4 linked regions of the Diceros bicornis minor genome follow. The protein of the gene in region 3 binds, or shares a complex with, the protein of the main gene of each other region. Links are inferred from orthologs where the notes say so. Each region holds a gene or a part of one and is shown on either strand. Other genes may lie near its edges. The genes, in order: MTA2, CHD5, CDK2AP1 and MTA3.

The links.
Region 1: CDK2AP1 (region 3) and MTA2 share a complex: the UniProt entries of both Homo sapiens proteins name them as parts of the nucleosome remodeling and deacetylase (NuRD) repressor complex. The link is inferred for Diceros bicornis minor from reciprocal best matches to the Homo sapiens genes CDK2AP1 and MTA2.
Region 2: CDK2AP1 (region 3) and CHD5 share a complex: the UniProt entries of both Homo sapiens proteins name them as parts of the nucleosome remodeling and deacetylase (NuRD) repressor complex. The link is inferred for Diceros bicornis minor from reciprocal best matches to the Homo sapiens genes CDK2AP1 and CHD5.
Region 4: CDK2AP1 (region 3) and MTA3 share a complex: the UniProt entries of both Homo sapiens proteins name them as parts of the nucleosome remodeling and deacetylase (NuRD) repressor complex. The link is inferred for Diceros bicornis minor from reciprocal best matches to the Homo sapiens genes CDK2AP1 and MTA3.

What each region holds. Positions count from the first base shown.
Region 1 is NC_080770.1:10,491,982-10,498,815, forward strand, and holds the start of MTA2 (metastasis-associated protein MTA2), read left to right. Parts: upstream 1-3,823; 5' UTR 3,824-4,272; coding exon 4,273-4,300; intron 4,301-5,035; coding exon 5,036-5,103; intron 5,104-5,472; coding exon 5,473-5,566; intron 5,567-6,834. Other genes in the region: EML3 (echinoderm microtubule-associated protein-like 3), read left to right, coding at 40-165, 249-380, 837-904, 1,455-1,543, 1,615-1,712, 1,845-1,932, 2,462-2,560, 2,844-2,974 and 1 more. UniProt on the Homo sapiens protein: May function as a transcriptional coregulator. Acts as a component of the histone deacetylase NuRD complex which participates in the remodeling of chromatin.
Region 2 is NC_080752.1:26,264,525-26,271,589, forward strand, and holds the start of CHD5 (chromodomain-helicase-DNA-binding protein 5), read right to left. Parts: upstream 3,013-7,065; 5' UTR 2,992-3,012; coding exon 2,913-2,991; intron 1-2,912. UniProt on the Homo sapiens protein: ATP-dependent chromatin-remodeling factor that binds DNA through histones and regulates gene transcription. May specifically recognize and bind trimethylated 'Lys-27' (H3K27me3) and non-methylated 'Lys-4' of histone H3.
Region 3 is NC_080774.1:7,096,327-7,104,044, forward strand, and holds the start of CDK2AP1 (cyclin-dependent kinase 2-associated protein 1), read left to right. Parts: upstream 1-4,709; 5' UTR 4,710-4,930; coding exon 4,931-4,985; intron 4,986-7,718. UniProt on the Homo sapiens protein: Inhibitor of cyclin-dependent kinase CDK2. Also acts as a component of the histone deacetylase NuRD complex which participates in the remodeling of chromatin.
Region 4 is NC_080751.1:42,198,906-42,206,869, reverse strand, and holds the start of MTA3 (metastasis-associated protein MTA3), read left to right. Parts: upstream 1-4,955; 5' UTR 4,956-4,980; coding exon 4,981-5,008; intron 5,009-6,228; exon of another isoform or gene 6,229-6,243; coding exon of another isoform or gene 6,244-6,292; intron 6,293-6,696; coding exon 6,697-6,764; intron 6,765-7,964. UniProt on the Homo sapiens protein: Acts as a component of the histone deacetylase NuRD complex which participates in the remodeling of chromatin.

The sequences.
Region 1 (6,834 bases), on a different chromosome or scaffold from region 3:
AATGGCCAGTGGGCCTGAATTTCTGCCACCACTCTGCAGATTCCTGAACACTTTGGGGCCGTGCGGGCCATTGCTGAGGGGCTGGGCTCTGAGCTGCTGGTGGGAACCACGAAGAATGCGTTGCTGAGGGGAGATCTGGCCCAGGGCTTCTCCCCTGTGATCCAGGTCGGGGGGCCAAGGGCTCGGGGAAGGAGGGAGGGTAGAGCTGTTGAGGAGGGGCAGAGGTGACAGCCCACGCTTTGCTACAGGGCCACACGGATGAGCTCTGGGGGCTCTGCACACATCCCTTCCAGAACCGTTTCCTTACCTGCGGCCATGACCGGCAGCTCTGCCTGTGGGATGGGGAGGGCCATGCGCTGGCCTGGAGCATTGACCTCAAGGTAGAGCCCTGTGTCCCTGGATCCCCAATGCCACACCCACCATGACTCCTGTGGCCACCAGTCCTTCCCCAACATCCCCTTACCTTCTGCTCTCCAGAGGCAGCCAGTTTGTAGTGGTATGGCTGTACTGGCTAAAACATTCATTCTTTGCTGATGCCTCCAGTGCCCCCTGGGCACTGCCCCCACCTCAACCCTCCAGACCACCCCTTGATCCAGCAACAAATGGGTAATCTCCAGCACAGCTACGGGCCTCAGTTCTGGTTGTTAAATATTTTGAGTATTACCCCCTGTTTAGGCTCCACTGACACCCTGCTTCCACCCCAGGTCTACTCGCCCTCTCCTCCCGTTTCCTCTTTGGGAGGAGGAGGCTTCGACGTTACCAAGATGACAAGGTGTCCCTCTTGGTTACCTCACTAGAAAGGCATCTTATTGAATTCACCTTCTCCCCTCTCCCAGGAGACTGGTCTCTGTGCTGACTTCCATCCCAGTGGGGCAGTTGTGGCTGTAGGACTGAACACGGGGAGGTGAGAGGGAGCCAGGACCCCTGGGAGGGGAAAGCAGGAGGTATGGGAAGGGTTCCTGGTAATGGCGGGGTGGAGGAGCGTGATTGCTGCCCGCTCAGGAGCCCCAACTGCACCTTCCTGCTCCTCAGTGCTTCTCGGTGCCGCCCAGGCCTCCCCTGCTCTCCTGTGGCAACTGTCATCACACCCTCCCCCAGCCACTCTCCTCTCCAAGCCTGGGAGTGGAGGAGGTGGCAGCTCAGGATAGAGAAGCAGTGGGGATGGGAGGGGCATAGGGGAGACTAACAGGCTTACAGGGAAGTGACAGGCGTATAGACTCCATAAGGACTTTGTCATTGGGCCCCTGTACTCCTTTCCCAGAGGACATCAGAAGCCCCTCAGCTTTTATCTGCCCTTAGCCCCCTCCCATTTCTCAGCATAAGAATGCAGTGGTGACCTCTCTGTCTACATCATGGTGTTTCTGTGGGTGTCCCTGAGGCTCTCCAACTTGCCAACTCCCACCCTGCCCAGGACGGGTATCCTCACACCTGCTCTCCGCCCCCCCCCCTTCTAGGTGGCTGGTTTTGGACACGGAAACCAGAGAGATCGTGTCCGATGTCACCGATGGCAATGAGCAGCTCTCAGTGGTCCGGTACAGCCCAGGTGGGAGCCACCCCTACCCTGGATCCAGACCCATCCCTGGTCCTTCCCTCTCTGAGTGACTGTCTTTGTAGATGGGTTGTACCTGGCCATCGGTTCCCATGACAACATGATCTACATCTATAGTGTTTCCAGTGATGGTGCCAAGTCCAGCCGCTTTGGCCGCTGTGTGGTGAGGAGGCTGGGGTGGAGGGTGGGGCATTGCCATAGCAGGTAAACTCCTCAAAGGGGTCAAATGCATTAAGTGGGGCCGAGGGATGGGAAATGGTGGCTACACTTTTAGTCTCTTGACCCTTGCTCCCAGGGTCACTCCAGCTTCATCACTCACCTTGACTGGTCCAAGGATGGGAATTTCATCATGTCCAATTCTGGGGACTATGAGATCCTTTACTGTGAGTGGCAGTAGGGGAGGGCATGGGGAGAGGGTAATTAGGGTGGGTTTTATTTGTGTGTGTGTGGGGCTCCTGGTTGGGAGGGGATGAAGGAGAATATGTGGGGAGCCCCAGGTGGAGGGGCTGTTACATAGGGAGGTGGAGATGGCATTGAAGGGGGGTTGGAGGTATACACATAGGAGAAATTTTGTGATTTGGAGAAAAAACCACACATAGAGTTTACACCATGTCTTGTTCCCACAAAGACTTGAGGGAGTTGAAAAATGCACTAAAAAGATTGTTTTGGAAAAGTTGCTCAGGGCAGGTGTGGAGGGATTGACTTATCTATGGACGAGGAACTGACAGAAGCTGTTAGGAAAACATCAGCGAGAACTCAGGAAGCACGTGGGGGGGCTGGGTTTTGCCCTGGGCTGGGGGCTACCGTGGCGACCAGATCACATGCCACCGCCTCAAGCCAGTGTTTCCTTCTGGGCATCTTCCCAACTGAGGGCAGGATGAGAGCTCAGCTGGGTGGGCTCCCTCTCCCCAGGGGACGTGGCTGGAGGCTGCAAGCTGCTGAGGAATCGCTATGAGAGCCGAGACCGGGAGTGGGCTACCTACACCTGCGTGCTGGGCTTCCACGTATACGGTGAGCAGGGGTGCAGGGGCGCGGAACACTGCGGGACGGCGGGGGGACAATGTGCAGCGCGCCCCAGGCTCGGAATGCTGGGTGTGTGTGGAGGGGTGGGTGGGGGTTGAGAAACTGGCAGAGCCAGCCCAGGAGGCCCCTCCGGCCCCGAGGAACCGGGAAGGATTGCCTGAAACGCGGCCGGTGGGTGGCCCCGCGGCTGCCTGAGCGCCGGAAACGGTGCAGCTGTGGGCCGTGGGTGGCGGCGGAGAGGAGGCCGGGCTGAGGCAAGGCGCTGTGCTAGGCGTGTGGCCGGACGGCTCGGATGGCACCGACATCAACTCCCTGTGCCGCTCCCACAACGAGCGCGTGGTGGCCGTGGCCGACGACTTCTGCAAAGTGCACCTCTTCCAATACCCGTGCGCGCGCGCCAAGGTGAGGCCTCCCGGGGCCTCCGGGGCCGGGCGGGCGGGCCCGGGGCTCCGTGGCCGTCGCAACTCCACCTTCCCTCCTGCCCAGGCGCCAAGCCTCGTGTACGGCGGCCACGGCAGCCACGTGACTAGCGTCCGGTTCACGCACGACGACTCGCACCTCGTCTCCCTGGGCGGCAAGGACGCCAGCATCTTCCAGTGGCGGGTGCTGGGCGCCGGGGGCGCGGGGCCGACGCCCGCCACCCCTTCTCGAACCCCGTCCCTGTCCCCCGCCTCCTCTCTCGACGTGTGACCGCCGCCTGACGGGACCCACCGGCCCTGCGACGTGGCCCCGCCCCACCCCAGTACCCCAGGACCAGGGGCCGACCCTTTCCTCGACTTCGAGACATTCCCGATCGCGCATTTCCCTGGAGGGGGAGAACGGCACTCCTGCACACACTGTATAGACCCGCTGGCTGAGCCGGGCAGCCCCAGCCTGGGCCCTGGCTCCCGCCGCCTGCTGAGGGGCAATAAACCAAAAGCAAAGTCACCTCCCAGTCCTTTTGTGGGGCGCGGCTGGGCGCCTCTGGGGCCCTACGGGGGTGGCGGTGAAGGAAAAGGGTAGTGCGGAAAGGGTAAGAGAGCGTAGACTATTCATGCAAATAACAGGCAAAGCTGCTTGCAAATAGCTTGGCGAACCGCAAAGGCGCGCGAGTCTTTCGGGCCGCAGGCGGAGCTGCAGGGCTCCGGCGAGGAGAGAGTTAAGCCCAACTCCTCTCTCGCTCTCGGAGGGGGGGCCGAGTTGCAACGGAAATAACCGAGCGCCGGGCCGCCGTTGGCCGGACGGAGCCGAACCTCTTCCGGAAGTAGCCGATCTGTGGGGTCTCGCTCTCCGACCTGAGCCGAGCGCCCGGCCTTGTTCTCCGGCTCGGCCGAAAGTGTTCCGGAAGGAGGCGAACCCCGAGGCGGGCAGGGCAAGCGTTCCCCGGGGCTGGCAGAGCCCAGCGTCTGGTGGGGCTTGGCGGGGGCGGGGGGAGCCGGAGCCTGGCTCCGGTCCGGCGGGAGCCGAGCTCGTTCCGGAAGAAGCCGAGCGGACCGGCGCCGGCCTCGGCGTCTGGGGCGTGAGGCGGTAGCGGCGGCGGCGACAGCGCGGGCCGGGATGAACCGCGACGGCTGAGGCGGCGGAGGTGCCGGCTGCGCGGACCCGACCGAGACTTCCGCGAAGTGCCAGCCCCGCGGTCGGGACTTCGCCTCCAGCCGAGCCCCGTCCCCGCGAGCCGCTCAGACCCCTTTGTGCGGCCGGAGGCGGCGGCGGGAACGGCCATGGCGGCCAACATGTACCGGGTGGGGGGTGAGTACCGGGCGCAGGGGCTGCGGGGCCCGGACGGGAGAGGTCGGGGTCGGGACCGGGGAGGCTCGGCACCCAGCGGCGCGGGAGCCGCGTCTGGGGCGGCGTGGTCCCGAGCGCGGACCGGAACCGGAACCGGGAGCGCGGGGAGCGAGGGTGCGGGGACGGCGCCGCGGCCGGGCGCCGAGACTCGCGGAGAGGCTGGGGCCGCCCCGACGGTACTCGCGGGGCCGCGCCTGGGGCCACGGGGTCGGGGAGTGGGGCTGGGAAGGTGTTTCCGAGGGAGCTGACAGCGCGGGCAGGGGGCGCGAAGGGCCGGCGACCGCTCTGCCACCTGCGGGGGAGCCGCCGGGCGGTTTCCTCTCCCCAGGCGTTATTGTGCGCCTCGGTCGCAAAGGTGGGGGCGCTGAGCGAGAGGGAACAATTGCTCGCTTCGCCGAGACTGGGGTGCAACTCGATCTCCGAGTTGTGGGGACTGCAGGGGGAACCCTCTGCTTCTGGTCTGTTCATTAAGGCTCATTTTTGAGTGAAGGATCTGATTTTAGAACTAGGTGGCTAGGCGTCGGGGGCTGGCGTCGCTTATTAGACTCTCCACTTCCACATTTCAGCGCCCTCTCTACCTGGACTCTCATCGCCTTTTGGTCCACTCAGGCCTACTTTCTCTCCTCCTCCCCTGGTGCTCTGGCTCTCCCATCTCCTCCTCTGATCTTCCCGGTTCTTCCCCACCCCCTCCTACAGATTACGTCTATTTTGAGAACTCCTCCAGCAATCCTTACCTGGTTAGACGGATTGAGGAGCTCAACAAGGTGAGTGGAGCAGTCTCATCCTCCCCCGCAAGTGGTCTCTTTCTTCTGAGGTCTCTAACTGTGGGTGGAAGAGAGACAGAGAGAAAGAAAGAGGACCCTATTCTAAGTACCCATTCATATTCATTCATTCATTCATTCATTCGATGTATTCAGGAAAGGCTATTGAGAGCTTAGTGGGAACTTTACTTTTCTATTTCTTGGGGCCTAAGGAAAGGGATATGGAAGTCTGTCCTTAAATCTAAGTCTCCTTATTCATAATTTCTTGTGTTTTCCTACTTACATCCCTTAGAAACTTATTCACTGTTGTTAGTCTCTTTGTGCCTTTTCACTTTCAAATGACCAGTTTTCACTGCCATTTTTCCCCCTTAGACTGCAAATGGAAATGTGGAGGCAAAGGTTGTGTGCCTTTTCCGGCGAAGAGACATTTCTAGTAGCCTCAACAGCCTGGCTGATAGTAATGCCAGTGAGTGTCTTGGTACCCCCACCCCATCCCGGCCCCCCTTTCTCCCCCTCCCCGTGATCTGAGGCCAGGGCATGTCCCCGCAGGTGTTTCCCCTGGTAGAATGCCCAAGGCAGGGGTGTGAGTTTGGGGGTGGGAAATGCCTGGGCTGTGGAGGGAGGCCTGGAGGGAGGCTTGTTTTTACACGTTGGGGTTGGAAGCAGAGTGGAGAGACCATGATAAGAAAAGCCAGAATATGGCTTGTATGTGAGTGTGTATATATGAATGGTGTGTGTAAAGGAGATGATAGTATTTAAATAGGGGATGAGGAAGAGCTTTAGAGAAGAAGGACCCTTGGGGGACAGTTTTGGGTGTGTTGGAACAATGGGTGGTGACTGAAGGTCAAGGTGAAGAGGAAGAGATTGTACCTAGAAGCCTGCTTTACAGGAAAGCAGGCTTATTTTGTGATCACGAGATAGTGAGAATGCATTGAAGGCAGAGAAGAGGAAGCTAGGAAAGTTTTCTTGCACTTTTTCCTGTTTCTCATCTCTCCTGTTTTCCCTTCTACTCCATTTTACATCTTTATGTTTTCCCTTTGCCCAATCTTTCTTCTCATTATGCTTTCATGTTCTTTTAAAAAATTTATTTCCTTCAGTTTTCCTTAGTTTCTTTTTTCTTTCCCCTTCCTCTTGTTCCTTCTTCCTAAATTATTTTCCTTATTTCAGGCTGCTTTGGGCATGAAGGGGTTAATGAGGAGCTGGGCCTACCAAGTTCTCTGGCCCTCTGGGGTTTCCAGCCTCATCTGGCAGGGGCTGACCTTGGCCTTGTCCAATCAGAAGGGGTGTGGGGGGTGTGGTCCCCCTTGCTTTCGTACATGGTTTCCGGAGCATACAGTGAGGGGTGGAGCCTGCTGCACACCCCCCTTCTCCCTGAGGTTGGGAACAATGCACCAATGAGCCTTGGCCTGTGGCTCTTCTGCCCCCTCCCACTTTGGTTGGCGCCCAGCCAGGTTAACCCTTTGCACTGAGGTTTCAGGGCAAGCTGCAGCTCCTTGGGGAGGAAGGTGTTGGCACTGGCTTGAGAGGTACTATCCTTGAAAGCCCCCCACACAAACTATTATTAGCCAAATAAAAAGTGAGGGATAGTTAGGATTGCATGTGATGTTTAAGAGCAAAGAGTCTCCTGAAATCTGAAAAAAGGAACTGGTAAACACAACCTTGTGTGATATTTTGTCATCTTATTGACTTTCTGGACCTCAGGCTGGTTTGGCAAGAAAGAGACAAGTGTGATAT
Region 2 (7,065 bases), on a different chromosome or scaffold from region 3:
GGTGGGAGACGGGGCAGAGTGAAAAGAAAGTCGATTTGACAAGTAACGAGTGCAATCTGCTGCAGATTTAAAAATGAGCACGACAGTTCCCAAACACTAGCTCCTCCGCCCGCAAACTGTGATGGTTTGGAACCTGCTGGCTCTAGGTCCAGTCGGGTCACAGCCTCGAACACAGGCCGAGGGCTGCAGAGCGGCTGCAATGGAGAGCTAGGGGGCCAGCTGGCTAGCACTTCAGGAGAGACACAAGGCCTGGGCTGAGGCTGTCATCGTGTCTGGGGGCCAGTGGTGACCTAGAGACTCCTAGCCCTCAGACACTGAGACCACAACCATCTCCTGAGCACCCACGGTACCATGTGCCAGGCACGGCAGGTGACCAAGGGAGTACACTCGAGGGGGAGCCCATCGACACAGAAGTAGGCTGATGGTAATATTCCAGGTAATAGGAAAGGCTGCCAGGAAAATACAGCATTAAGATGGGTCTGAGGGCGACAGGGGTGGGGCCACCCTTGAGCCAGGAGGTCAAGGAGGGCCTCCCCTTGGTGACATTTGAGCTGGGACCTAAACCACAGGAAGGAGGCAGCTGTGAGCGGAGGAAAGAGCAGGTCAGCAGAGGTCACAGCCAGTGCTCAACGGCAGGATGCTTTGGGGGGTTCTAGAAGCAGCAAGGAGGCCAGTGTGGCTGCAGTAGGTGAACAAGGGGGAGTGGGGATGATGAGGGCGGGACAGAGCAGGAGCTCTGCAGTCAATCAAAGCCATGGGGGTCTGGGTCTGATTTACAAAGGTGACCTGGCTGCTGAGTGGAGGCTGGTCATTGAGGACTGGCTGGGAGCCTCTGGAGTGGACCAGCAGAAGGGGACGGTGGCTTGGACCAGGCACATGGAGAGGAGCTGGGAGCTTGAGAAGGCTCAGATCACACTCTGGAGGTGGAGCATCTGGTCTTGCTGAGGATGGGGCTGCAATCCCTAGGCCAGAGTGGCCGGAGCATGGCCCTCCTCTGCAGGGCTTTGGGGGCATTCCTAGAGGCCCTGGGGACAACCTCACCCCTACCCTGCCCTGCCCCGGAGCAATGGGCACAAGCAGGAGGGAGAGGGAGAATGGGTGGTGAGCAGGTGACTTTGACCAAGACCCAAGCCCTCTGGCCCAAACAGGGTGAGTTGGGGGCCCATCAGCCTGGGGGTACTTTCCCTGGCCTCCTCCCCTCCCCACGCTCCACACCCTGACACCACTAGGGAGAGCCAGAGTATGTGGGAAAGAGGGACAGGAGACCCCATCAGGGGGCCGGTGAAGTTCTGGAATAAGCCTGTGAAGGCATGTCCAGTGCCCCTATCGTGCCACAAAGGGGCCGTGCCCAGAGTACCACTGGAAACCACCTGCTGAGGAAGCAGTGAACGGCTTAGGGAGGAGCCAGCCTCCTGGGTGGAAAATAGCCACGGGTTTCCATGCCTGTGCTGGGCCTCTGTGTTCCCTTCCAGGGAAATGGGCCTGATTCCCTGGATCTGGATATGTAAGAGTCAACTATTGTCCAAGCAACCCCACCCACGTGGGGCCGCCTCAGCCCCACTCCCCTCACCCCAGCAGGAGCTTTGCAAAGTTGAAAAGCAGGGTGTCTGAAAAATGGGGTGAGGCCAGGCTCCTGCAGGGCGGCCATCACAGCCTTAAAGCAAGCAACCAAGTTGAAGGGTGGCGGGGAGGAGGCCCTCCTGGGCCTGGCCTCCTGGAGGGAATCCCCTAGCTGGGAAGACCCAGCAGCCTGGGGAGCTGCTGCCCACTGGGTCCTCTCCTTCTCACCTCCTGCACACAAGAGTTGGGATGCCAATTTGTGGAATATTCTCCCCCCTGTGGAAGGCACTCCTGAGACCAGACAGCACACTTCTGGGCCAGGGAGGGCCCCTGGATCTCCCACAAGTCTCTAAGGAGCCCAGGAGGGCCCACAGATTTGGTGCAGGGAAGCTGAGAAGTAACACAGTCCCCCAGAAGGAGGGAGGGAGGCTGGTTGACAGGGTGAGGCCCTGCCCAGCTGTGCCAGGAAGGGAAACGTCCCAAACAAATGGTGAGCAATTAACTAAAGGATGATCCTGCAAGGTTACCCCTGACACACAAGCCCTGTTTACGCTGAATTCTGAGAGGGATGGCAAGGGCAAGGGCGGTGGCCCTGGGCTCAGACCGATAGCCAAAGCGGAGTAGGCTGGGAACGCCACTACCTTGGTCCGTCTCAGGCTGGAGACGGCGGCGGGCGCTAGGGTGTGCCAGCACGACGCCGGCGGCCCAGGCAAAGTGCTTGGGAGCGGCGGTCACAGCACTCAGCGGCCGGGGAAGGGGAGCGGGAGTCCGAGCCCGCGCACCCCGGCCTGTAGCCCTCGTGGGCCCAAGAGAAACCGCCCCAGCCAGGGCCCTCGCCGGGTCCCCAAGCACGGCCCGTCCTCGCCCTGCTCCGGGCCCCACCCAGCACGCCCTGGAGCCGAGATGGGCCAGGGACCGGGGGCCGGGTCCCGCCTGCCCCCGGAAGGCCAAAGGCGCCCGGCGGTAGGGCCACAGCGCGGGGTGCGCGGCGCCAGAAGCCGAGCGCGATTCCCGCCCCCTTCAAGGGCACGAGGGCTGACCCCGGCGGCGCCGCGCCCCCTCCCCGCCCGGGGCGCCCAGCGCAGGCCCCCCCGCGGTCCTCCGCCCGCGCCTGGCCCGCGCCGCGGCCAGGGTGGCCCCGATCGCACCCCGCCTTTGGCCGCCGGCGTGCCGCGCCCTGGCGCTCGCCTACCCCGCGCCCTTGGCTGCGCGGCGCCAGGAGGGCGGCAGCGCAGCCCGGGCGCCCCCTCCCGAACGCTGCCAGTGCCGCTCGCGCGGTCCGGCCCCGGGGTCCCGCCGGTCCCCGCGCCCCCCGCCGCCCCGGCCCGGCACGCAGCCGGCGCCCCGCTCACCTGACATCTCGTCCTCGTTCTCCATCTCGTCCGCAAACAGCCGCGGCAGCTCCTCCTCGGTGCCCAGCGGGCCCCGCATAGCCGGCGCGGGGGGGAGGGGAGGTGGGCGCCCCCCCTCCCGCCGGGCGCGGTGCCAGCCTTAACCCGTGCGCTGCCTGACGGGCGCGCGCGGCGGGCGAGGCGGCCTCGGCGAGAAGATGGCGGCCGCCTGCCCCCCCACCCCCCCAAACCTCCACCCCTCCGTCTCGACCCCCTTCCTCTCGGCCGCCTTTGCCCTGCTCCCCGCAACGCCCGGGCTGCTCCGCCCACCGCGCCCCGCAGCCCGAGTCCCGCAGCCGGCCGGGGGTGGCGGCGGCAGCGCCGGCGGCACGGCGGGGGGGGCGGCACACATGCCCGGATTGTGACGTCCAGTCTGGTTGCTGTGGCAACCCCATCCCATCGTTCCGGCAGTGCGACTAGTTAACAGCAGAGAACAAGTTGGGGGACTAGTCCTGAGCCGCCGGGTGGAGGGTGGGGGACAGGGCGCTCCGGCCGGCGGAGCCGTCGAGGCGCCGGCGCACCCCGGGACCCGACGGCCGAGCAGGCAGCAGGGACTCGGGCGAGCCGGGCCCAGAAGGAGGCGGGGAAACGCAGAGCCTGCCGCCGCCCCCGCCCGGAAGGCGCTCGGCCCAGGGGTCCCCAAGGGCGCGGAGGCGGGGTCCTCGGGGCGGCGAGCAGCTAGCTCCCCACACTCCGCTCACACGCACCGGGACCCTCGCCTCCCCGCACCCGGCTCCGGTCTGAACACGCTTCTAATCACCTTTCGAAAGAGGATTATAAGAAAAATGTGTTCCGCGCTTGAGGAAGGGCTGCTCTGGAGACAGCGGGTCTGATTCCCCCAGAAAAGTCCGTGCAGACTGGCTCCTCCCTCACCCCTTCGCACCCGGCTCCCACCGCCCACGTGCCCTCTTCCAAAACGCCCCTCCAGGCTGGGTCCAGTTTAAACACATCCAGACCCCTGGGGGTGGTGCAGATCTGCGTTCTCTGTGCCCAAAACTCCCGCTCAGAAGCGACACCTGTCGCGGAGCGGGGAGGAGCCGCCGCCAGCCCTCCGTTGTTAAAGGTGAAGATGGAGCCCAGAGCCCTCGGGAGCGAGCCTGGAATTTTAAATGAGCGCCTCCAGTCTCGGCTGCAGCACGTCTTAAAGCTACTCTTAGAACGCAAAAGTTTCAGCGGCCGGCAGGATAGCCAGCGCACTAACCTAGAATAACCTAGAATGGCCAATAAAGGGAGGGTACCCTCACCTCACTGCCTCCAGCCAGACACATTCAAGGGCAGCGGGCTGATCCCCGCGCTGGAGCACCACGTGGCTGCCAGGGACCCGCAGGATCTGCCTGAGTTGGGACGCCAAGAGGAAGCAAGGGGAAGATCTCCCTCCTGTCTAGCACCAATCCCTCAGGTCTTGGCTGAGCACCTGCCCCATCCAGGTGGCGTTCACCAGTACCCATGCCACACTGGTATCGCCAGAAGGGCTCTCCCTTTCCTGAGGCCTTTGGGGAACCAAAAGAGTCACGCCTGCTTGGCCAGGGCCCTCATGCAAGACCTCTTGGGGAGGTTGCCACAACTCAAGCCACAGTGAGTCCAAGGTAATCAGAAGGTGATGGATGGCCTCAAGAGTGCTGGAAAGATGTGTAGCAAATTTTTCCTCCCCCTTCCCATCCAAATGAATTGCCAGCAAGCCCCCAAAAAAACTCCTCTTCATTCATTGCTGGGCAAGAGCAGGTCTGTCCAGCCTCCAGGATCACAGTGCAGGGCGCTGGGAATCTCCTTCATCTCCTGGATCACTTTTAAACTACATTATAGAGAGATGTTGAACCAGCCCAGGGCAGACAGCCTACAAGGGCAAAGGGAGGCGAACTAAGAAAGCAGAGAGCTTCTCGCGTCTAAGGCTGTACTTCACATCACTGGGCTTCTGGCTGAGGGGCCCCAAATCACCGCCACTCTGAGAGGCCTGCATTTTCACCAGCAAGACTGCCTTGCTCTTTCTGGACTTTCTGTCTTCCAAAATGTCAACCATCCAGGAAAAAACTCTAAGTGCCACCAAGCATGCCCACCTCTCAGTTACCAGCCCAGCCCCCAACCCCTCCCAGATGGGGGGATGAGGTCTAGACACTTGCACAGGTGCCCTGTCCCACTCTAGAGAAACTGTGACTTACAGTACTTCCCATCGCCAGAAAGCCCCCCACCACACGCACACACCATTAACCTTGGCTCCAATTCCCAGGGCAAGGCTAAGAAAGGCAAGACATCACTCAAGAAAGAGCAGTTCCAGCTGCTTAATTTGGCAACAAATTAGAGTTGAGATGCTCATCACTCATACTCCTCTCCCCATCCTTGTTCTTGCCGGTGGCTGTGGCCAGGTGACATGACTTACTGACCACAAACGAAACAAAACCAACCCTGGAATGGCAGAAACAAATGGATTTTTGACTAGAAATTTCCACCAGTATTTAAAGGAGAACTGTTAAACTATTAAATGTGCACTTTAATGACAATGGACCCCCAAATGCCTGATGTTGAAAGCAATCCCTAAAAAGATAAAAATTCAACAAACTCTGCAATTCCGAGAACAAGTCTATCATTAAGGTTAGAGTTTTAGGAGACAAGATTCTCATGCTTGCTGAGCACAGACCTTGTAATTTCACCTCAGTGACAATTCAAAATCAAAATATTTTTAAAAAATATATTGGTTATGAAAGCACCAAGGAAAAAAGGGTTTTCCGAGAACAGGGCTGCAATAGCTGGTATCTTCAGCACATACCCCACTCAACTCCGGAATCTGTCACACAGGCACCCCTTAAGTCCTGCCTGAGGCCGGTTCCTTTAGCAATATATCCCAGTGTGGCCACCTGATGGCCCTGACATGACCCTAGGCTTCTGCAGTGAAGTGCTTGTTCCTACACCCCTCCCAGCCAGTGCCCTGGGGTGAAAACTCTGCAGCCTCTCATCGGAGATGGGGGAGACTGTCACTCGCATGGTTGCAGGGTCCTCTGAAATGAAGGGTGAGCGCCCCCTGCCCACCAAGACCTCCCTTGTACTTGAAGCCTGTTTCTCAAAGCAAGGGCCATGCCCCACCTGAATCCAAATCTCTTCCGGTTGCTGGGAATGGGGGGAGGGGCTTCTCAAAAAGGCAGACTCCTGGCCATGGCCCTGAAGCGAAGTACTTGACTTCAATTAAAGCATCTTAGAGGTTCTTTCTGGGAACTGTGGTAGCAGCTAACTCACTCAGCTGGTCAGCGCAGCCTTAACAGTTTTAGGAAGGCCTGAAATAGCCTAGAAAAAAGAATGTGGATTCTCAAATCCTCCCAAATATAGGAAAGATAGGAAAATGTCTGGATTACAAATTCTTAATTTTTCTTCCCTGAGATAAACACCATTATGGCATCATTTAAGAGGCAGCCCTCCACCTGCCTCCTTCCACACCACCTCCTTGCTAAGATGGCAAATCCCCCAAACAGGCCTCTTTCCTACCTTCCTCTCCCTCCAGAAAGAGAAGTGACCTCCACAGCGTATTACCGCAAAGAACAGAGGCCCATTACCGGGATTCAGCCAACACCTCCAGCAGGAGACTACCCAGGTCCTTTTCCCTCGGGGTGGCTTCTGACCCCTGCCAGCCCCGTGTTCTGAGTTTATCGAAAGGCAGGTCTGTCTGCTTGGTCCTGCCAAATCTGTGGTTGTCTCGTCAGGACCCCACATCCTAGGTGTGTGTGCCCCTCACAGGGAGGGGCCAAGCACCGGTCTGCTTCCAGCACTCGATAAGGTGGCGGGGGTCACCAGAAGTCACAAGGACCTGGCAGCAAGAGGAAGGAAATGAAAGCAAGCTGCCAAAGCCAACTTGCAGGCTCTCCTGAGGCTACGAGCGACTTGACCAAGGACCCGTCACCGCTCACTGGGGTCCTGCTCACCCTCCAAGAAATCATGTCCCCTAAAAAGGCTGAGGTCTAAATACCCCAGAACATTCTGTAATTTTGACCCTCTTAAATATTTGATATGATTAAACTCCGCCACTTTCCTCCGTTTCTGACACAAATGTTTCTCAACACCTGTGCTAGGCACCACTGGTGAACAGTTAGGACCTCTTCCTGAAGAGCTAAGAGGATGACATGACTTAGAA
Region 3 (7,718 bases):
GCCCCTAGAATAGTGCCTGACACTTTGGAAGACTCTCAATAAATATTTGTTGAATAAAGGAGAAAACTCATGACCTTCTCAACAGATGCAGAAAAAGCATTTGACAAAATCCAACTCTCTTTCATGCTAGAACAACAAACTGGAGGAATGGAGGGGAACTTCCTCAACTTCATAAAGGGCATCGATGAAAAGCCCACAGTTTACATCAAACATAGTGGTGAAAAACAAATCTTTCCCCCCTTTAAGATCAGGAACAAGACAAGGATGCCTGCTCTCACCAGTTCTATCCAACAGTGTCCTCGAGGCTCCAGTCATGGCAGTTAGGCGAGAAAGAGGAATAAAGACATCCCATTTGGGAGGGAAGAGTAAAACTATTTGCAAATAATATGATCTCACTACAGAAAGCCCTAAAGAATTTACGTACAGACACAAAAAAACTACTAGAGCTAATAAGTGAGTTCAGGAAAGTTGCAGGATATAAGACAATATACAAAAATCAGTTGTATTTCTATACACTAACAATGAACAATCCAAAAATTAAGAAAACAATTCTACTTACAATTGCACCAAAAATAATGAAATACTTGGGAATAAATTTAACCAAAGAAGTATAAGACTTCTACACTGAAAACTATAAAACATTGTTGAATTAAAGAAATAAGACCTAAATAAATGGAAAGACATCCTGCGTTTGTGGATTGGAAGACAGCATGCAGTTAAGGTGGCAATACTCCCTGAATTGATGCACAGATTTAATATGAGCTCTATTAAAATTCCAGTTGCCTTTTTTTTTTTTGCAAAAATGGACAAGCTGATCATAAAACTCATAGGGAGATGCAAGGGACCCAGAATAACCAAAACAATCTTGAAAAAGAAAAAGTTGGAGCACTCACACTTTCTGAATTCAAAGCTCACTACAAAGCCACAGTAATCAAAGCAGTGTGTTGTGGCATAAGGATAGACAGATAGATCAATGGAATAGAATTGAAAGTCCAGGAATAAACCCTCATATTCACCATCAAATTGATTTTCAACAAAGGTGTGGGACCCATTCAATGGGGAAAGAATAGTTTTTTCTTTTTCTTTTTCCCCCTTTTTCTCCCCCAAGCCCCAGTAGATAGTTGTATGTCATAGCTGCACATCCCTCTAGTCGCTGTATGTGGGACGCGGCCTCAGCATGGCCAGAGAAGCAGTGCGTCGGTGCGTGCCTGGGATCCGAACCGGGGCTGCCAGTAGCAGAGCGTGCGCACTTAACCGCTAAGCCACGGGCAGGCCCCCAAGAATAGTCTTTTCAAGAAATGGTGCTGGGACAGCTGGATATCCACATGCAAAGCATGAATTTGGACCTACCTCACCTCATACACAAAAATTAACTAAAAATGGATCAAAGACCAAAACGTAAGAACAAAAACTATAAAAACTCTTCAAAGAAAAAACAGGTAAAAATCTTCGTGACCTTGGATTAGATATGATACCAAAAGCACAAACAAACAAAAGAAAAAAGTTGAACTTAAGCAAAATTTAAAACTTGTATGTGTCAAAGGGCACTATCAAGAAAATGAAAAGGCAACTCAGAATGGGAGAAAATATTTGCAAATTATGTATCTGTGAACAGACTAGTATCCAGAATAAAGAACTCTTACAACTTAACGTTAAAAAAAAAACTCAATTAGGAGGCTGGCCCAGTGGTGTAGGGGTTAAGTTCTCGAGCTTCTCTTTGGCGGCCTGGGGTTCGCAGGTTCAGATCCCGGGCGCGCACCGACGCATTGCTTATCAAGCCATGCTGTCGTGGCGTCCCATATAAAGTAGAGGAAGATGGGCATGGATGTTAGCCCAGGGCCAATCTTCCTCAGCAAAAAGAGAAGGATTGGTAACGGATGTTAGCTCAGGCTAATCTTCCTCACCAAAAAAAGCAACAACAAAAAAATTCAATTAAAAAAGGGTAAAGGATTGAAATAGACATTTCTCCAAAAAAGATATACAAATTGCCAGTAAGCACATGGAAAGATGCTCAATATCATTATCCATTAAAGAAAGGCAAATCAAAACCAGTTCACACCCACTAGGATGCCTAAAACAAAAAAGCCAGATAATAAAAGGCTTGCTGAGGATATGAAGAAATTAGAACTCTTATACACTGCTAGTGGGAATGCAAAATGGTGCAGCCAGGAAGGAAAGTAATTTGGTAGTTCCTCAAAAAGTTACACATAGAGGGGGCCGGCCCGGCCCCGTGGCTTAGCAGTTAAGTGCGCGCTCTCCACTGCTGGCGGCCCGGGTTCGGATCCCGGGCGTGCACCGACGCACCGCTTCTCTGGCCATGCTGAGGCCGCGTCCCACATACAGCAGCTAGAAGGATGTGCAGCTATGACATACAACTATCTACTGGGGCTTTGGGGGGAAAATAAAATTAAAAAAAAAAAAAAGTTACACATAGAGTTACCATATGACCCAGCAATTCCACTCCTGGGTATATACCACAAAGAACTGAAAACATGTTCACACAAAAACTTGTACATAAATGTTCATAGCAGCTCTATCCATAATAATCAAAAAATAGAAACAACTCAAATGTCCATCAAGATGGATAAACAGAATGTGGTCTCTCCATACAGTGGAATATGATTCAGCCATAGAAAGGAATGAAGTACTGATACATGCTACAACATGGATGAACCTTGAAAACATTATGCTGAGTGAAAGAAGCCAGACACAAAAGGTCACATATTGTAGGATTCCATTTATATGAAATGTCCAGACTATGCACATACATAGAGACAGAAAAGTAGATTAGCGGTTGCGTAAAGCTGCAGGTAGTGGGGAATGAGAAATGACTGCTATTGGGTATGGAGTTTCTTTTTGGGGTGACAGAAATGTTCTAGAATTAGATAGTGGTGGTGGTTGCACAACTCTGTGAATATACTAAAACCCACTGAATTGTATACTTTAAAAGGATGAATTTTATGCTAAAGGAATTATATCTCAATTAAAAACAAAAGGAAAAAATTTTTTTCAGTGATAATCGGGACTTAAAGTGAGGGGGATGGGCGATGTGGTAAAAAATGCAGTATTGAAAGAGAATAGCCTGGAAAATTCATAGAAGGGATCAGCGCAGGCCACTGAGATCTGGATTCTTGCCCCAAGGAAACAGAGGCCTAGTCAAACAGCTAACAGGTGGTGGAGGCAGAATTAGTACCCAGGTGTGTCTGTCTTATGAGCCCCCTGCTTGTAGCTTGTAGCCCTGCACTGTCCAATAGGAAGCTGCTAGCTATTGTGGCCACTGAGCGCGTGACATGTGGCTGGTCTGAATTAAGGTAAGCTGTGAGTGTCAAATACACGCTGGGTTTTGAAGACTTAGTACCATAAAAAGAACATAAAGTATCTTAATAATTTCTTTATATTCATTACATATTGAAATCATACTGTTCTGGATATATTGTTAAATAAAATATATTATTAAGATGAATTTCACCAGTTTCTTTTTACTTTCTAAAATGTGACTACTAAAAAACTTTAAATTACATATGTGGCTTGTAATATATTTCTGCTGGACAATGCTGCTCTAGAGTATTGGGCCCCTGGAGGCAGGGTAGAAAGGGGTGTCATTAATTTATTCAAGAAATGAAATTTCACTGGGCACTCTTGGCTGAGCTAGCCTAAAGCTGATCACCAGAGGTGCTCGTTAAGCTGGGGAGGGGGTGTCACTTGCACCTTCCATCGGAAGGGAAGGCATGGGTGGTATCCCTTCTCTCCTGGGCGGAGAGGTTGACGCCCTCCTCAGTAGATCCAGATGTGTCTGAATGTCTCTAATTTAAACATCTGCAAAGCATGGCAATTAAAAACGGCAGAAAAGGGTGGGTATCTTGTAGTTTGACGAGCTTTACTATTTAAGCAGAACTCCAAGAAGCAGTACCTTCAAAAGCTTAGTCATCTAATCCAAAATGTTTGATGATTGCGCTTCAGGCAGATCTGAGGATGGGCTGGGGTGGGGTCGAGGGAGGGTTAAAAATTATAATGCCAACTCCAGGAGAGTAGAAACTTTGCCAAGTTCATTCTTGTGTCCTTAGCGCCTGGAACCCTGCCGGCACACAGTAGGCGCTTCTTAAATATTTGAATGAGTTAAGATGCAAAACTATGTGGATGCGAGGGTGAATTTTGCAGGGGAGGAGGCCCCTCACTTTTGTCAGTGTCAAGGGAGTCTAGGCCCCCAAAGGGTTAAAAACCACTGAACACAGACAGGGACATGAAATTTATTTGAAATCAATGTCAAGAATTGGTTGCTCTTCTTCTGGGGAGTAGCCAGACCTCGGCGTCTGGAATGATCTATGTGCTTAAAAATACCACTCGCCACCATTTTCTCCAGGTAATTTTCCATCCCTGCCCCCACAATCAAGGGGAAAAAAAGTAATTCTGCAATCCTACCGAGCTATTAAAAAAAAAAAATTAAGCGGTAAAATAGCAAATCTCCCGGCGCTGAAAGCGAGGAGGAAGCAAGGGACCCACGCGGGCCTCGGGCGCCGCCGGGACCCCAGCCCCCCAAACTTTGCCAAGTTGCGGGCGCCGAGCGCGCCCGGAGGCGCGGGGCGCGGCCGCGGGCGGAGCCACCCCCTGACGCCGGGCCGCGGCGCGCCGGGCCGCCCCCTCCCGGCCCGGGCCGGCCCCGCTGGCTCCGCTCAAAGTTTGCGGCCGCCCCTGCGCCCGCGCGCCCGCCCGATGTATGGGTGATATACTGCAGCGGGTGTCAGGGTGAGGGACGGCCATATTTGCCGGTGCGGCCCGAGCCGTCAACAACAAAAAGTGCGCGGGAGCTCGGCGGGCGCACGGACGGGCGCACGGACGCCGGGGCCGCCTCGCCGCCGCCCGGCCTCGCCGCCGCCGCCGCCCTCGCGGGCCTGGCCCCGCTGCGCCCCGGCGCGCCCCGCCGCTCGGGGGGATGTCTTACAAACCGAACTTGACCGCGCACATGCCCGCCGCCTCCCTCAACGCCGGTGAGTGGGTGCGCCCCGCGGGCCGCGCGCGCCGCGCCCCAAGTGCCGCCAAGTTGGAGGCCCGCGCGCCTGGCCCCGGCCCCGGCTCCCGGGGGCCCGCGGCGGCTGGGGGCGGCGGGCACCGGGTCCCGGCCCGGGGCAGCGCGGCCGCCGCCGCCGCCGCCATGATTCCAGCGCCCGCGCCGCCAAAGTTCGCGGGTGCGCCCCGCGCCGCGGTGGGCCGGGGCCAGCGCCGGGGCTCGGGGCGCGGGCGGCCCCCGCCGTCCCCCCCACGCCGGCGGCCGAGGGCTCGCGGGGAGCGCGGCGGGCGAGGGCGGGGGAGGCTTTTCTCTGCTCCTTTTTCCTCCGGCTTTTGGGCGGCTCGGCGAGGGCCCCTGCCGGCGGGAGTGGGGAGCAGCCGGGCCGCGCCGGGAGCAGGGCACGGGGCGCGGGGCGCGGGGCTCGGGGCTCGGGCTGCCCTTGGGGCGCCGGGGGCAGGCCCGGCGGGGGGCCCGGCTGCAGGGGTGCACGTGTGCAGGACCAGGGCACGCGTAGGCAGGGCTGGGGGGCGGCGGCGTGCCAGGTGCAGCGGCTCCTGAGGGCGCGGGGTGGCTGGGGTCACCGGCGGTGCAGGGCACTGGCTCGTCCGTGGGGCTCGGCCTGGCGCGCGGGAGCGGGGGTCCCAGAACAGGGCACAAGGGAGGACCCCGCAGGCGTGCGCAGAGTGAAAGCAGTTGGAGAAGACCGGGGGCTTCTGAGTGCCTGCGGGCGGTGAATGGGGGCTGCACTTCAGCCCGGGCCCCGCATCGCGGAGCCCCCAGTCTGGACCTAGAAGGCCCCCTCCTGCAGAAGCCGGGGGGCCATCCTCTCCCCTCGGGGCTGGAGCGGGGCGGTCTCCGGAAACTCCTTCAAAAGTTGCTCGGCAGCTTCAGGCTGTGCCCAGGGGCTTGCCCCAGGGACCGAGGGAGACATCGGGGGGGAGGTAAAATCGTGGAGTTCAGGGGTAACCGGCTTTGTCTGCTCACCAGGGTCCTTCTCCTTTAGACACTTGGTTGGAAACAGACTTGCAAAAAAGTGAGGCGCGTTGGGGGTGGGGGGGGCAGAGGCCTTGGGGAGGGGATTGGCCTTGTTGGTCAGAAATGCCACGTTGGCAGTTGGCCGCAAGTTTGGGGCCTTGTCTCCAAACGTTGACTCCGTAACTCCAAAAATCTGAAGAGGGACCCAGAAAAGCCATATGTATATGTGTGTGTGTGTGTGTGTGTGTGTATACACACACACACACACACACATATATTTTTTAACTTCTTGGACACAGATTTGGGGATTGGAAGGGTTAAGATTCAGGGTGCGGATGGGGGGATAGTTGAATTGGTCAGATGTGGGCTCTGAACCCCAAGAGCAAACAGCCACTGTTTTCTCTGATGTCCCCACCTCCTCTGGGGTCTGCAGACCTCACCAAGACAGGCTTTGTGGCCAGGTAGGATTCTCGATGCCTCCTGCATCTGTCTCTGAGGTGGGAGGGGTGGAGGTCTGGCTGCCTGCCTGGACAGAGGGGAACTCGCAGGCCTGCCCTGGTATAGTTGGGGCAAGAGCCCTAAACTGGGACCTTTGGGGATTGGGGTCACAGAGTGACAGGGGCACCCACTCAGAACCCCTGAAGCCCTGTTCTAGTCTGGCTAGCACCTGTACACAGGTTTTCTTCTTTCTCCTGTGGTGAATTCCAGGAGCAGTGCTGAGGTCCCCAGATCTCTGGTGTTTTTTTGGGGGGGTCTTCCCCCCTCCCCGTGGACCCCTTAGGAAGCCCTGATCTCCCCCTGCCATTTGCATCCAAGATGGACTCTCCGCAGCCGCTCCTCCGGCTTCCTTGTCATCATCCCTCACGCCCTCCAGCCCTGCCTCCTGCTCACGGGTTGCCAAGCCGCGGCCTGGCCGGCGGTGGCAGTGGCTGAGTTAGACAAAGCCCCCGCCTCCCTGCCGGAGAGCGCCCCCCCAGGCGCCCCAAGTGGCGGGAAGGCCGCCAGCTCCCCAGGCCCAGGCCGCTCTTTGTCTGGCGTGGGGGCGGGGAGCTGCGCCTGGCCCCAGGAGCTGCTGGCCTCTGCCAATCCCTCCCTCGGCTCCAGGCCCTCCCTGGTCCCCGCACACTGCACGCATTGTCTGCGATGCTCCAAGAAGGCCATGCTCACACCCAGTCTGGCTTTCTCCCTGGCCTCCTGCAGCCCGACCCGCTGGCCCTCCCTGTGCCTGCAGGAAGGAGTGGGCACGAGTGGAACTCGGGGCCCTTCTGCCAACTCTCTCCAGGACCACAGACACCCCCCTCTCAACACAGAGTAACGGATGGGCACTGGCACAGAACCGGGGTCTCCCACCACGTCACCCAGGTGCCTGAGCTGTTGCCCAGCTCCTCCCCCACCCCAAACCAGGCGATTTCTCATTCCTCGACCCTCTCCCTTAGCCCCCCAAGACCTAACCCCAGCACCATGTAAGAGCAGGATCTGGAGCCTTTGGGCATTCTGCTGGGAACGTTGCCTCAAACAGATGGAGAAACTGAGGCCCAGAGAGGGAAGGGCCTTGTCTAAGGTCTCACAGCCAGGTGTGTCAGGCTCAGCCAGACCAGCCCCTAGTCCAGGCCTGTGCCCATAGGAGAGGAGACGGGTCAGGGAGGCGGGAACTCAGTAAAGAGAGCAACCAGAGGAGGAGGACTCACCTCCTGCCAGGGAGTGAAATCTTCCAGACACAGTGAAGTGCAGTGCAGTG
Region 4 (7,964 bases), on a different chromosome or scaffold from region 3:
ACCCCCTACACCATCTTAGAGGCAAGAGGGTGAGGTAGGAAATAGTCAGATTTGGTTTTTTAGGCTGTGTCCCTTCCCTTCTCCTCCTGTTCTTTTCCTCTTCCCTCCCCCACCTCACTCTGGCTGCTTTTCTAGAGCTGGGAGCAGAACTTGCTGAGAATTTTACTCCCTGGCTCTTAGGAGATGGTCAGCCCTGGGCATTCCCCCTTGTCTTTGCCATCTGTCTTGGTCAGTGACTTGTGTGGCTCGCTGCCCATGCCCTTCCTGTTTGCACATTTGGACCTGGACTCTGATCTCCTGAACCCAGACCTGCTAAACCTGTTTTCGCCCAAGCTGAAGGACTCAGGGAACCTGCTTCTTCCCCTGGGGCCAGGGTTTGGCATACTTCTTACACAAGACAGGCTGGGCTCTGTGCTGATGGTAATACAGAAGACGGTACTTCTAGCCCAGATGTCTCTCCTAAACTCCAGGCCTGTTCATCTACCTCTTTCCTAAAGAGGAAATACTTACCTGGATGTTTCCAAAGGCACCTTGAACATAACCCATCTAACACTAAACCTGTCAACTGTCCTTCCTCCCCCAGCTTGCCTCCCCTCCCATATTCTCTTCTTACTGAATTGTACCTCTCTCCACCCAGTTACTCATAACTTGGTACTACCCTTTCACTCTATGCCTCCCAAAAGTCACCAGAGCCTGTCGCTCCTACCTACTAAATCTCTCTCAAATCTATTTACTTCTCTCACACCCCACTGCCTCTACCCAAGTCAAGCCATCATCCCTCTCAACCAACCTCCCAACTGATCTCCTGGCCTGGATTCTCCACCCTCTCCAATCACTCTCTTTGCTGCAGCCTGAGTCATCCCTTCAACATCTCCCATTGCCCCTTAGGATTCTTGTTCCTAATCCCAAACCCTATACTGCCCGGCCATCTCATTCAAATCCACAGCACTCCATAGGCTAAAAAGGGAAGCACTAATGTCAATTAGATCAACCTTCTAGGGGTTCATCCCTGTCCCCCTTGTGACTTTCAGTCCCTTTTCCACTATCTGGAGGCTATGTTGTCACTAGAAAAGGAAACTCCTTGTGGATGCAACCAAATGGCTGAGCCAGCATGAGGGCATGAGGGGACCATGGAATCCTAAAAAACATACTGTAAAAACCAGGACATTCTGGGATTGGTCCTAGGTTTCATGTTTTTAGCCCAGGGGACGGAGGGAAGAAGAAGCTCCATGAACTGGGGAAGTTACGAACTCCTGACTCTTAATTTCCTTTGCCTTACGGGCTCCCTTGCTTTGATTCTTGCTGTCACGTGCCCACCTTTCTCCTGGGATACATTCATCCACCTTTAAAACCCATGACCTCCTTAGAATAGCTGAAACACGCTGTGGCTCTTTTCCAAAAGAATTTTACTAAATAACAAAATAAGTTAATGAAAGAAGAAAAAGAGAGAGAAACAAAACAGAAAACACAAGCTATAGTCTCTTATCCAAAGCCTGGCATTTGGTTTCAGATTAATTACATTCTAGACCCCCAGGCTCCTTTTGTGAGTTCAATATCACAAAGCTCCCAGACTCTGTGGCCAGCCCCATCTTTTTTTTTTTTTTTGCATGTATAAAAACTCCATCCTGAAATTGAAACAAAACCAACTTTTTATCTTATCAATAGCTCTCTTGCAGCATCTACTTCCCTTCAGCTAAATGGTGGGACACTGGTGGGACTGACACAGGGAACGTCCTGGGTCTTTAGGCAATCTCTAATCATGGTTCTTTAATCACAAGAGCCATCCCAGGAAATTTTACCCACGGGAGGGCTAGATTTGCCCTGATTTCTGACATGGTCTGAGAGACACTTCTTCCTTAGTAAGGAGGATGGCTGGAATAGAGAGAAGAGACCTATTAAGTATGAAGCTTTTAACATGTGCAAACACTTTATATATTTAATTATTAGCACAAGCCTTTGCTGTAGGTGTCAATCACTAGTCATATTTTGTAGAATTTGAGGCTCAGAGGGATTAAGTAACTTGCTCATGGTCTTAAAGCTAAATAGCCAAATTAGAGTGAAGTTTGGGCTGGTTGACAACAACTTTGTGATCTGAACCACACAGCATAAGGACATGAAGGTGCTTTTGCCTTCTTTGAAGGTGCAGGCTTTTCTACCCTCCCTTGTCAGATTGGAGGGTTTCTTTCAATCTACAAACATTTGCTGAACTCCCTTATGTGCATACCTCTTTGGTTTTATTTTATTTTATTTTTTTGTGAGGAAGATCAGCCTTGAGCTAACATCCATGCCAATCCTCCTCTTTTTGCTTAGGAAGACCGGCTCTGAGCTAACATCTATTGCCAATCCTCCTTTTTTTCCCCAAAGCCCCAGCAGATAGCTGTATGTCATAGTTGCACATCCTTCTAGTTGCTGTATGTGGGACGGCGGCCTCAGCATGGCTGGAGAGGCGGTGCGTCAGTGTGTACCCGGGATCCGAACCCCGGCTGCCAGTAGCAGAGCGCGTGCACTTGACCGCTAAGCCACGGTGCCGGCCCCTCCATACCCTTTTGGTTTTAGAAGGTATAAATGTTTCATAAACAAAGTCCTTGCATTTAACTCTGCACCTGATTCTCTAACTATACTGAGCCCACCATTCATGGGCACTTATTCTTTCTGATATTGAGCATCTGCTATGTAGAACACATTGGCCCAGGAGCTGGAGGTGGAAGAGGCTAACTAACTACACAGAATCTAGAGGAAGAAAGCGCCCCAGGTTCTGCCACCATCATTACCTCTGGCTCCTCCCCACCAAGTCTCTGAGGCCTTTCATGGGGGGCTTCTGGATGAGGCTGTTCCTAAGGGGAGGAGGTAGGTAGGGATGGGGGGCATTTTCTTGGCACCTTTTGCCTATTTATTGTGGTTAGTACAGCCATCACAAACACCTAGTAAGGTGCACAAAGCTGGGGAAATGAGACAGGCAGACAAGGAACTAACAGAAATACAGAAATATTTTGAAATAAAGAAATTGCTCATATATTTAAAAATAATGGGAAAACCCCTTAAAGCTTATGATCCATTCCTTTGCAGTTTATGGTATCCAGGTGGCTTTTTCACTTGGAGAAAGGCTTCCTGGTTTAAAGAATTCTAGGCCAGAGGAAAGGGCTGAATTATAATCCCAATACTGCTGCCAGTTTACTGATGACTCCAGGTGAATTATTCAACCTACTTATGTGTCAACTCAGAAATGGAGACAGTGATGTCAGATATGTCACAATATGTTTTTGGTGGGATCTCTAGTAAAAGGATTATGATAAACAACAACTATGCAGTGTGCATAACAGAACATTTTTGCTTTTTTCTCTGGGTCAAAAGAGCTAACTGATGCAGGCTCACAATTTGACACATGACATAAAACCCTTGAGAATCTGAACTTTCTGGAGTTAAAAAAAAAAAAGCAACAGACACCTGTTATTTGCATAGTGCTCTATGCTGAATGGTTTACAAAGCATTTTGAGATATTGTCACAACTGATCCTCACCCCACCTGTGAAGTGGAATTAGTGTCCCCATTTTATGGATGAGGAAATTTGGGTCACACACAGTCAATCAAGGTAATTCAAACAAAGGTGCTTTATTTCTTATTTTATTTTGTACTTTGCCTCAGCTTCATAGAAAATTATTTTTTTCACCTCAATAATTTGTGATAAGGGACCATCACAAATGCCATCACCATACAAACAAAATACAATCTTCTTTTCTAGGGACACCTGCCATCCCTGCACAGACCCCACACCCAGTGTCAACAACACATAGTTGTAAATCATCAGAAACTCCAAACAACGCACAACAACAATAAGGGATCATCTTCATGTTTAGTATACAACGTCTGGGAGTAGTTTAAAACGGATTGGCTTCTCTAAAGAAAGTTGTTTGTGTTCATTTGGGGGACAGCCAGCCAAGATTCAACTCTATTTGGTTTTTTATTTCTGTGAGGGTATGAAGGCTGAGAAAACAGGGATTGTTTAGAGAATTAGCATGGGAAAATAATAACTATTTAAAAGCTTTGGGCACATAACCAAGTTAACTGTCCAGCAATCAACAGCAAGCTGGTTGACACTATTTTCTCCTTTGGGGGGTGGTGGTGATGATGAACTGTAGGGCTCTGTTCCCCTATGGGCAAAGGAAGACCCCCCCCACCCCGTTTTCCTAGTAGGGCTGCACTGCATATAGGGCCTGTCTAGAGGCAAGGCCTCCAGCTGTAGGGGAGCGGGTTCTGTTCAGCCATTTGGGGTGAACGCTGATAGACATGGCACTGCAGTTAGGGTAGACTTGAAAGGGAGGCAGTTTTTCTAGCCTCCTCCCCAGCTGGGTCTCTGCCTGGGGAAGCTGGAAGCACCTGGGGCCCCCCTGGCCCCACTGTATTAACATCACCACGAGGAAGGCGCCCTGCGGCATGCACTTATTTGCATCCAAGTGTTTGCACCGAGACAGGCACTCACGTGCTCAAGGTCACACATACTGAGTCTCCCCAGGGACAGAAGCAGGGAGAAAGACCTGTCTCGGGGTGGGCAGGTGTCGGGGTACGCTGGGTGGGGCGGTAGGGGCTCCGGAGAGGCTGAGCTCTTGCCCCCAACCCAATTCTCTAATACCCCTGGTCCGCATTTCCGAGCGCGGGCCTCCGCTTCGGCCAGGACCCTTGCCCTAGGATCCCCCCCTTCCAGCAAGGCCCCCCAAACCGCCCCCCTCCCCAATTCCCTGCTGGCCCCGCAGCGCTCGGACTTCCCCGGGCCCGGCCCACTCGGCCTCGCTAGCCCGGCGCTGGGGGCGGGCACCTGCCCCCACCCCTCGCCGTCCCCTCCCCTCCACTTCCCCCTCCCCTCGTTCCCTCCCTCCCCTCCCCCACGTGGCGAGGCGGCGGCGGCGGCGGCAGCGGCGGCGGCCGAGGCTGAGGCGGCGGCGGCGGGCGGGGCTCGGCTCGGGCTCCGCGGGCGGGCGGGCGGACATGGCGGCCAACATGTACCGGGTCGGAGGTAGGAAGGCTCGGCCCGACCCGGCCCGTCTGGGAGCGGGCTCTGGGAGTGGGGGGTTGGGGCGAGTTCACCCTAACCGCAGGGAGCCACGGCGCCCAGGCTGAGGGCGCAGGGGAGGGGGGGCGCCGGGGCCCGCAGAGGGGGCCGGGGCTCCCCACCCCGCCACCCTGCACTCCCCCCTCCCCCTGCCCCCTTCCCCCCACCGTGGCCCGCAAGGGGCCTGGCCCACCCACACCCCCACACCCGCCCAGTGATTTAGGGCCAGGCCTGTACTTGGGGGTATGAATTATCAGACGCCCCCCTCCATGAAAGCCCCATGGGGGTAGGGGCCGTCGAGCCCCCTAATAGGGTGGTCTTTCCTGCGTGGCTTCTAGGCAGTGGGGGTTGGAGAGGATGGGGGACATCCCCCCATCTTGTACTCCTCTCCTTCAGTGGGAGTGTGGGGTGGGGGTGGGGGCGATGGGGGCCCAGCCAGGGGCACAGCTGGACAGGCCTGTTTGCGAGGACAGGGCCCTGCACCTCTCCTTCCTCACTCTCTCTTCCGTTTCTTATCCAGCCCCCCAAGAATGGGGCTTAGTGGGGCCGGGGCACCGCAGCCGGAGGTGGGGAGTTGAGCTCTGCCTGGACGTTTGCTCTCCTGTCTCCCTTCTTCTCAGCCTTCTGCAGAAGAGAGAAATAAGGTCAAACAAACTTTCTCCCTAGTCAGGACGCCCTCCTCCCTCTTTCTTGGTAGAATAATAATTCAGATAAGTGGCGTGTTTGTGTGTGAGACTTGCTCTTCCTTCTCTGCTCATTAGCTGAGCTCCTGATGGATGGTGGTGGGAATGGCCTGGCTAAATGAGGCCACTTTGCAGAAGAGAGACGGGAAAGAGCCACTAAGATAGACAATAACAATGCAGCCCAGCCTCTCAAATGCACAGTGGGAAGTTTCCAGTGAGCCTATTAGATGAGAGGAAAAGCTACACTTGAACATTTTTATCCTTTTTGTTGAAAATCTGCAGCGATTTCTTTATAACAAGACCCCAAATGGATCTGGATTAAATATGGTAAAAGAGTATTAAACAGATTCTGATGTCACTTCTAGAGAGCTCTGTCTCTCAGAAAGTGACTCCCCTTTCCCCCTTTTTTCCCCTCGTCTTCCTAGATAGAGCTGTGGAAAAGTTTGTCAGTGTGCTTCCTCTTACCTGCTCTGGTCACCTGATTTTTTTTTTTTTTTTCCGAAGTTGGTGATTGAAATGTACTTTGGGCTCCTAAGCCTTTCAAGATGCTCTGAGTCTGTCTTAGGTCAGTAGTTTTATGTGAGAAGCATACTCCAGGGCAAATTGGATTGGATGGAAAAGATGTGGAAGCAGTTACAGTATGAAAGACACATGTTTAGTCAGCCCTGACTACTCAATGATGATAAGAGGTGTCTTTTTGTTTGTTGTTAAAGAAATGACATGTGTGGGACAAAAGTCTAGGAGAACTTGATAAAACATTAATTGAAATGAAAATGCCAGGAAAACCAGAATCTGTGAATAGTGGGCACATAGGAGAATATTTTAAGGTTGCATTACTAAGTTTGCTTTTACCAGGGAATGAATTACATACTTCATTTTGAATGAGAATTGCCTAATATAAAAAGTCAGAGATTGACAAATGTGAACTTTTGTTGAAAAGATTAAGCTCTTTACTTCCTTAAATTGCAGATTATGTCTACTTTGAGAATTCCTCCAGCAACCCATACCTAATCAGAAGGATAGAAGAACTCAACAAGGTATACACTTAGTGTTCTTGATTCTAATATTAAAAAATATTTGTTTTCCATTGAAGGGTAATTGGGTAAAGGGCATTAGAAGTGATTTTACTTTCTGTCCCAGACTTTTTGAAAGTAGAGATTTCAGATTAGAGAGAGTTATGCAGAATTCTGAATATTCTTTTGCTTTTTATAATTACCTCTGATATTAAATGTTGTTATTTAACGTGTAGATTTCTTCAGATTGCTTAGAGCTTCTCAGAGCAAGTCACTCCTGTAACTCAGTCCCTTTTTATATTTAGAGTCATAATTTGTATTTCTCCCTTTTTAGTGAATTAATTTTTTCCTCTTCTAGCTTTAGAAGGAGGAAGCTAGGAAATATAATATTATTAAAGGGAATTTGTAAAATTCTGGACTAGACCAATAAGAATACAATTTTAGTTTAGTATAAAATGACTTCTACCTTAGGCCCAAGTAAATAAAACTCTTACATTAAAGTTTGTCCCTGATCACAAGTGTCCGGGACATTAGAAGCATTGTGACTGTTTGCAGTAGCTGAGCTTTTACAATGGAGGCACTCAAAAAGGGTCATAAATGACATGGACCATAGATTTCTTTCTTTTTTTTTTTTTTTTGTGAAGAAGATCAGCCCTGAGCTAACATCCATGCCAATCCTCCTCTTTTTGCTGAGGAGGACCTGCTCTGGGCTAACATCTATTGCCAATCCTCCTTTTTTTTCCCAAAGCCCCAGTAGATAGTTGTATGTCATAGTTGCACATCCCTCTAGTTGCTGTATGTGAGACGCGGCCTCAGCATGGCCGGAGAAGCGGTGCGTCGGTGTGCGCCCGGCATCCGGGCCCGGGCCGCCAGCAGCGGAGCACGCGCACTTAACCGCTAAGCCACGGGGCTGGCCCAAGACCATAGATTTCTAATGACGCTCTGGTTTCCTCCAAACCACCTTGAGGGTTATTTGTGTAGTTTATGAGAATTCATAGTGTTAAAATGTTTGGGGCTGTCTAGTTAATACCTTTCCCCCAAAATACCATCTGGAGACTGGTCCAGTTATAAGTCCTGGGAAGCCAGGTCTGGCCAAGGACATTCCTCACTTATGAGCCTTAAGATCTTGGTTTGCTTCTGGGGATACCCCAAGGACCTTGTATTTTAAAAACTTCTGTAGTATTTGAGACCATCACCAAATGAAGAGAATGACCTCAGGATTAT